2 linked regions of the Mus musculus genome follow. The protein of the gene in region 2 interacts with the protein of the main gene of each other region in a biochemical or structural test. Links are inferred from orthologs where the notes say so. Each region holds a gene or a part of one and is shown on either strand. Other genes may lie near its edges.

Region 1 (3,312 bases), on a different chromosome or scaffold from region 2:
AGAAGAAAGCACCCACGTGTAAACTGAGTGGCAAAGTAATGAACCAGAGAAACATTTGACAGAATAGGATATGCCCAGCTTTCTTGGTCAGCAGGAAGGTCAGTTCTGTTGTAGTTGCTAAGCAAGTGCTGATTCCAGCAGCATCACCACCTCCTAGCTGATGAACTACAACCCTGCATTCTGCCCACTGTCCAGATGTGGGGGCCGTTCATCTTGTGACTTCATCTTTCTGAAGGATCTAAGCAAGACACTGACTTTCAACCTCATGTTTTAAGTGGGTGGGTCTCTTTAAAGCTCTGTAATTGCTGGGGCTAAGAAGTCATCTATACCCTTTTTAAAGTCTTTTCTGCACACTCTCTACTGGTCACATTGGAATTGGCACCTGTGAAAGCGTCCTTGTTGGTCTCCTGCTAAGTGATGAGCCTCTCTGGCTGTGCAAGCCCCAGCGTCACCTTATGCCCTTAGCTCTGGGGCTCAGAAAGCTCCAACTTAGTCTTGTATTTGTAGCATAAGATACAGAAATTAACTTTTCTAAATTCAAAGAAAAGGAATAGAACACCTCACTAATTAAAAACCAAGTACTGCCTTTATTTGGCTCACCGCTCCGTTTATTAGAGTAACCACATGTGGAGAGGCACAAAGCACTTAAGTTTTACATGACTACAAAGTGATCACAAATCCCAAACTTCAGGTCTTTCACTTCCACTTAAAGAACAAGTTTTCAAAGCGTCTGAGTTAGTTCAATACACAGACCCAGATCTCACGGGAGCTATTATGTTTAAACGATGCACTTCTTGCTCTAGCATCTTCTTCAAGTGGGATCCAGCAAAGGAGGCTGAGATGTCTAAGGTCATGATGCAAATGCTTTGAGGGGCAGTGAATCAATCTGCACGAAGTGGCAAAGATGCAGTGCGCACAGCGCTGAGGGCTCACTGGGCCATCTGCGCTTCCATGGCTTGTGCTGTCCACTCCGGGGCCGTCTGACTAATTTTCTCCAGGAGGTTGTTTACTTGGAAACAAAGTGACTGGATCTGCTTGTCCCATGTTGGCAGGGCTTCTCGTGCTAAGGAAAGAATAAAATAATAGGGAAGATAGAAATTACTCACAAATCGAGGCTAAAAGATAAATTACAACAGTGTTAACTTTTAAAAGATGTTTATTCTGGGACTCTTGGCAAGAACTCAGCTCAGGCCAAGCATGGTATGGCAGAGTTTCCATCTCTGCACTCAAAAGACAGAAGTAGGCAGGATCTCTGTGAGTTTGTGGCTAGCCTGGTCTACACAGTGAGTTCCAAGTCATCCAAGAGGGCCACACAATGACACTGTCTCAAAGAAAGAACGCAAATCACTAACACCAAACATAAAATGGAACATAATGAAAATGTTATTACTAATGCCCTTGAAAACAAAATCAACGACTGAAGACCTATCAAGACAAGATGACCACAAAGCAGCCTCACTCCAGGGTCAGGCTCTCAGTGTTTGCTGGGGCGATACTGCCATCTACTAGGAGAACGCTGGATCTACACATGAGAATATGTCTACCTCACCAAAAAATAATTTAACATTTACAGCAGAAAAAGACAATGTAAAATCTACTTGAAACACTATCTTGAGTACTTTTTTTTTTAAGGGCAAGGTTTTCTGTATAGCCTGTCCTGTAACGCACTGTGTAGACCAGGCTGGCCTCAAACTCACAGAGATCTGCTGCTGCTGCCTCTGCCTCCCAAGAGCTGAGATTAAGGTATTAAAGGTGTGCACCACCTCTTCATTTAAGAAGACTCAAAAAAAAAAAAAAAAAAAAGGAAACCCCACATTTTATTTTATGTATAGGAGTGTTTCGCCTCAGTGTGTGTGTGTGTGTGTGTGTGTGTGTGTGTGTGTGTGTACACCATGATCTTGCCTGGTGCCTACAGAGGCCAGAAAAGGAGGTAACCTAGACCTGGAGCTGCAGATGGTACTGAGAACTGAACCTGACTCCACTGCAAGAATTTGGAGCCATCCAGTCCCCTCCTCCCTTTAATTGAACTTCTTTCTCTTCCCTCTGCCCTGTTTTCATTTCTTTAAGACCACAGTGACTCTGGCTATACTGGAGAAAGTAGGTTAGGAAGCAAGTGTAGACAAGTGGAAAACATCACAGGCTGTGACAGCAGCATTCTGTAAGTCACAGGGAATACAAACGAAGAGAAGGGGCCAGGCCGCAGGTGGCTCTGAGGGTGAAGCCTGGCCATGTGAGAATGACCCCAATCCTCAGAGTAGAAAGAGGAATGATGACTGCAAAGTGTTCTCTGACCTCCACACATGCTCCAAGGTATGTGCTCACCCACACGCACACATACATTTGAATTTTTAAAAATAAGAAAAGTACATGGATTCCTAAGAACATTAGGAGTTGTAATTTATAGGACATGAAAGATACAGGAGTTAAACATAAGAAATTAAGGAAAAAGTTAACATGTAACTTTTAAATGGCTAACTAGAAAGTTTTGGACCTGTGTTTGTCCTAAATCCCTATTAAGCAATCTAATATAGACGCCTTAGGTGTGAACTAGAGCTACAGGTTTGAGAAAGAGAAGAGACTGGTACAAGCAAATCCAGCCACTTCCAAACATACTAACTGAATCAAGGGGTAGAAATCACCCGTGGAGACTCAATGCCTGTAGTGGGAAAGGCCTGGGATTAAGCCGTAAGTAGCTGATGTTAAATCTAAGGGCATCACAGAGTCCATAAAGATGACGTGAAGAACAGCTGCGAGTGCAGGAAAGGCGGCAGGGGCAGGACAGGGCGGCAGAGTCGACAGCATCAGGATGGCCATGGTGTGGTACCGCGTGCACAAGGAAAAGGGACCAGCAATATTGGCTTTATTAAAACCAAGATAAAGTCTAAAGCAGGCTTGCCAGTTCACCCCTGTGAGCTCTGCACTCAGGAAGCAAAGATGGGGGAAGCTCCACATCAGGGGCCAGTCTGGGCGGCTGGGTGGCAGAGACTCCACTTCAGAAGAAAAGAAAAGGCCTGAAAGATAAAAGGCATCTGGCCTACTTGGAAGACCTGTGCGTGTTTAGGACCAATGGAAAGAAGTCAGCAGAATTTTAAAAAGCTAAAACAGTGTTTCCTTCGGGCTTCTAACACAGCTCCTTTTGGCGAGTGTGTGAAGAGCGGGGCTCAGGAAGGGACCCTTGGAGCACGGGAAAGGGCAGATAGAAGATAATAAATAATAATAATACCTATACCTCACATTTAGGGCTTCATAAATCTGATCAAGACAGTTTTAAAAAATGAAATGGGAAATGGTTTCTCTTTAGAAAAAGTTAAA
Region 2 (3,915 bases):
TTATTTCTGTGTCATGTGTCAATATATATAGACCTATTCATATATATTTTTTATTTTTAATATACAATCTATATTTCCTTCCCCACCAGAACCACAGGAGGAGATATAAATCCTTCCAGGATTTCCATTGGGCTTCCTAAGATGATGAGCAACAAAGAACCATTTCTTAACATCTCAAAAATAGCTGTTCTCAGGCTCTGGGGTCACTGAAGCAGCAGTATCCCCAGGCCCAAGGAGATGAGAGAGGAAAGAAACAATTGTAGTGTGATGGGGTTCTGGGAGGAAAATGTCCAGCGACTCCCAGGGTAGCAGACTGGCTCCAGAACTCTAAGGCTGGAATGAAGGTGGAGACCCCCTTCCCCATGGCTTTTCAGATGCAGCCCACTAGGCAAGGGGAGGAGGAGGAACTGCAGATTAGGCATGCAGGGGTAGGTGTGGGTGGTTAAGAGCCAGCACCCTCCATAGGACTGCCAACCTGCTCAATGACAGGGGTAATGGGCAGACACAGTGCGGAAAAACGATGAGAGCAAGCGTGCTGGGGAAGAGCATGGAACACATAAGAGGTACCAACAGAACATGACCTGCACTGGCCTCCTCCCTACAGAGGGTGTGGCTTATGCTTGGGGGTGGAGGAGATGAAAAGTAATGAACTAGCATTATCAGCTGGCCAGGGGCACAGGAAGGCTCTGAGGACTCCTAAGGGGTAGGCAGGTAGGCAGCTGGGACCCCACATTCCCAGGGAAGAAACAAGTCCTTTCAGTTCGACTTGGACCAAATCTTGGCGCTCCCTCGGAGTCTGGCAAGGGGAAGAGAGAGAGAGGGGATGCAAGGGGTCCCCTAATTCCTAGAGGACACCCCCACTCCCGACCCCATGCAAATGACTAAAGCAGTGGAGCAGCCAGGTCCCTGAGGTAAAAGTGGGGTACCCAGAGACAAGTGGCTCCCGCATGGGCTCACCCCTTGCCCTTGGAGGCTTTCTTGCTGGGCTGGCGCTGGTTGGTGCCAGAAGCTGGTTCTCTCAGCTCTGTCAGGTGTTGCTCAGGATCCTGGGAGGTGGCTGCAGCAGCAGCTGCTGTCGTAACTTTAATGGTTTTCTTAAGGTTGGCAACCTATCAGGATGAAAGGAATGAGGGATAGCCAAAGGAGGTTCTGGAACCGGACGGGCCCTGATGATTTTATCAGTCGGCCTCAGCCCCATCGCAGCCCGAGTACCCAGGCTGGGGAGCTGCAGTCCATCCTGTCTGCTCACCTCACTTTCGATCTGCTGCTTCAGGCCCAGCTGCTGCTCCTTGTGCTGGTTGGCACGGCTGACCTGCTCTTCGATGCCCGACAACACAACCTCACAGCCCACGCACCTGTGGGAAGCAGGCAGATGAGAAGTCAGCAGGAGGCGGCAGTCATCACAGCCTCATAAAAACAAAGCAAACAAAAGCAAAAGTCTCAAAAGCTGGCCTCTAGGCTGGACTGAAAACCCTCGCCTGAGCTGGCAGCTCTCGCCAGGGCACCTGGGAACTAGCTACAACAGAATTCTTTTTTGTTTTGTTTTTGAGACAGGGTTTCTCTGTGTAGTCCTGGCTGGCCTGGAACTCACTCTGTAGACCAGGCTGGCCTCGAACTCAGAAATCCGCCTGCCTCTGGCTCCCAAGTGCTGGGACTAAAGGCGTGAACCACCACGCCCGGCTACAACAGGATTCTTTCTCCTCAGCAAACCCCAGGGCAGGAGAAGAAAGGGATAAGCAAGTGTCCTGGACAAGGTGGGTGGGGGTGGAGTGCTCGGAGAAATGGCTCAGGGGTGGAAGCTGCACTCACACTCACCTATAACCCCTCTACCTCTCTATCACACACACATAACTAAAAAGAAATCAAAATAACAAGATGAGAGCAGGAACCAGAAAACAAAACGGGAGAGTCAGGCATGGTGGGTACAGCAGCACACACCTGTAAGCTTAGAACCAGGAAGCAGAGGCAAGATTTCCAATTCAAGGCCAGCTTGGGGTACACAGTGAGATCACAATGAAGTTACACAGGGATACAAAGAAGAGAAGAGACCCATCGCGGCCCCTGGTGTTATTATGTGCAGTTGCCCTAAACTCAGCGTATGACAGTGACAAGCCTCCAGCTAGTCAAGAGCACAGCTCCATTCCTTTGCCCAGTTCCTGCCCAACAACCCTGACTCTGCGCCCAGGGCCCCCTTAGAGCCTCTGTCCCCTCAGAAACCCTGAGGAGAAAGCACTCTCCTAGGCTCCCCCTCCCCAGCCAGTCCCTGCTCTCCTGCTTGTATAAGGGAGGGTCAAGGCCTGACAAGTAAGTTCTCACCACTCTTGCAGGGTCTGGGCGATGGCACTGAGGTCCTGGCGCTGGATGTCCCGCCCGATGCTGTAATCAACCTCTAGCCGCTGATTGCGCTGGTCCAGAGAGCCACGAAGGACATCAGCATACACAGCCTCGATCACAAGGTCTTCCAGCTGGCGCACGTTTCGAAGGGCAAGGGCCTCCAGCAACACTGCATATGGGATACACTGGGTCCAGAGGTTAGACCGGAATTTGTGGGGTTCAAAAGCAGAGGAGGATTTCCCAGAATCCTCTTCCAGTTTTTCCCCAATGTCCAGGCCCACATCCCTCCACTCCTATCCGTAAGCCATTTTCTGGAAAATGTTGGTTCTAAAGCAAAACCCTATTACGGCCTCAAAAACATCACCAGAAAAGAATAATCTTCCTTCCTTTTCTTTCATGGCGTTCTGACACAGGGTCTCATTCTATAGCCCAGGCTGGCTTGGAACTCATTATGTAGTCCAGGCTAGACTTGACCTCACATTAATCCTTTTGCTTCAGAGTCCCAAGCGCTGGGCCGACATGAGACACGGCACCAGACTCAAAAAGGACAATCCAAAAACATGTGGTAGATGCTCTCCTATGCCCACCTCCCACTATATAGTGAAAGAACGAGTGTGACATCTTCCTGGTGCCATTTCTTTGGCTGTAGCTAAGGAAACTGTTTTTGATCAGCTTGACATCAGAGGATAGATAGGAGGGGTCTGGAGTTTCTGTTTATCATGTTGACTTAGCCATGTTACAAACTGGAATGACCTTGGGGAAGAATCTACAACCACAAGCCTAATTCCAGCAAAAATCACCAGGACTCAATTCTAGTTAACAACTGGGAGAATGTGATATAAAAAGTCTGTGCCCACAGGGGCACACAGGTACTGTAGGTCACACACATCTTACTATAGTAAGTAGAGAAGGACCCCAGTTCTAGCTCTGAGGCTCTGTTGGCCTGGAACTCCATCTGATGAATGAGCCGGCCAGCCTTCTAGTGGCTATTTTTACCCCAATCACAAAAGACGATGACTTAGAACTTCAGTTCAAACTGACAGACTCCTAACTAAGTGACTGCAGAAATGGAGTTTCAGTTCAGACCCAGACAGGGGAGGCCAATGGCTCTCCTTAGACTCCCTGGATTCACAACAGGTCGTCTCTGGCTTTGGACTGGCAGCTGGCAAGGCTGTCACTTACCTTGACTTTGGCAGCCAGAGTGACAACTGACAGATGTCGAAGCTTATTCTTCTGTGCGTCAGTCAGTGGGGGGAGATTCCTGGCTTCAGCTAGAGACAGGGAGAGAAGCCCGGGAATCTTGTTTTTAGCAGTTTCCTACAAGTTTTCTGTACCAATTATGGTCTAACACTGCAGAGGTTCACTTATGGCATCGTAGTAGGTATTTCTTCCAAGTCTCTCCAGAACCACCCTTCTCCTGTCTCCACAGCTCTGGCCCCTATTTACCTAAGTAGTCCGCATAGGTCCCATAGGCAAACACTGTGAGCAGCCGGAAGGTGGAGGCAAAGTCGCTTTCTGCCAGCTGCAAGAACGTGAGGGAGGAAGTGACAAGAAGGCCCTGATCTTACCCCATCCATCCCA

Evidence for each region.
Region 1: the proteins of Cops7a (region 2) and Cops4 form a complex in vitro, tested with the Homo sapiens proteins (2 studies listed by BioGRID). The link is inferred for Mus musculus from reciprocal best matches to the Homo sapiens genes COPS7A and COPS4.

Annotation. Positions count from the first base shown.
Region 1 is NC_000071.6:100,545,055-100,548,366, reverse strand, and holds the end of Cops4 (COP9 signalosome complex subunit 4), read right to left. Parts: intron 1,064-3,312; coding exon 930-1,063; 3' UTR 565-929; downstream 1-564. UniProt on the Homo sapiens protein: Component of the COP9 signalosome complex (CSN), a complex involved in various cellular and developmental processes.
Region 2 is NC_000072.6:124,958,842-124,962,756, forward strand, and holds part of Cops7a (COP9 signalosome complex subunit 7a), read right to left. Parts: intron 3,857-3,915; coding exon 3,781-3,856; intron 3,606-3,780; coding exon 3,517-3,605; intron 2,520-3,516; coding exon 2,317-2,519; intron 1,356-2,316; coding exon 1,250-1,355; intron 1,110-1,249; coding exon 958-1,109; intron 797-957; coding exon 757-796; 3' UTR 1-756.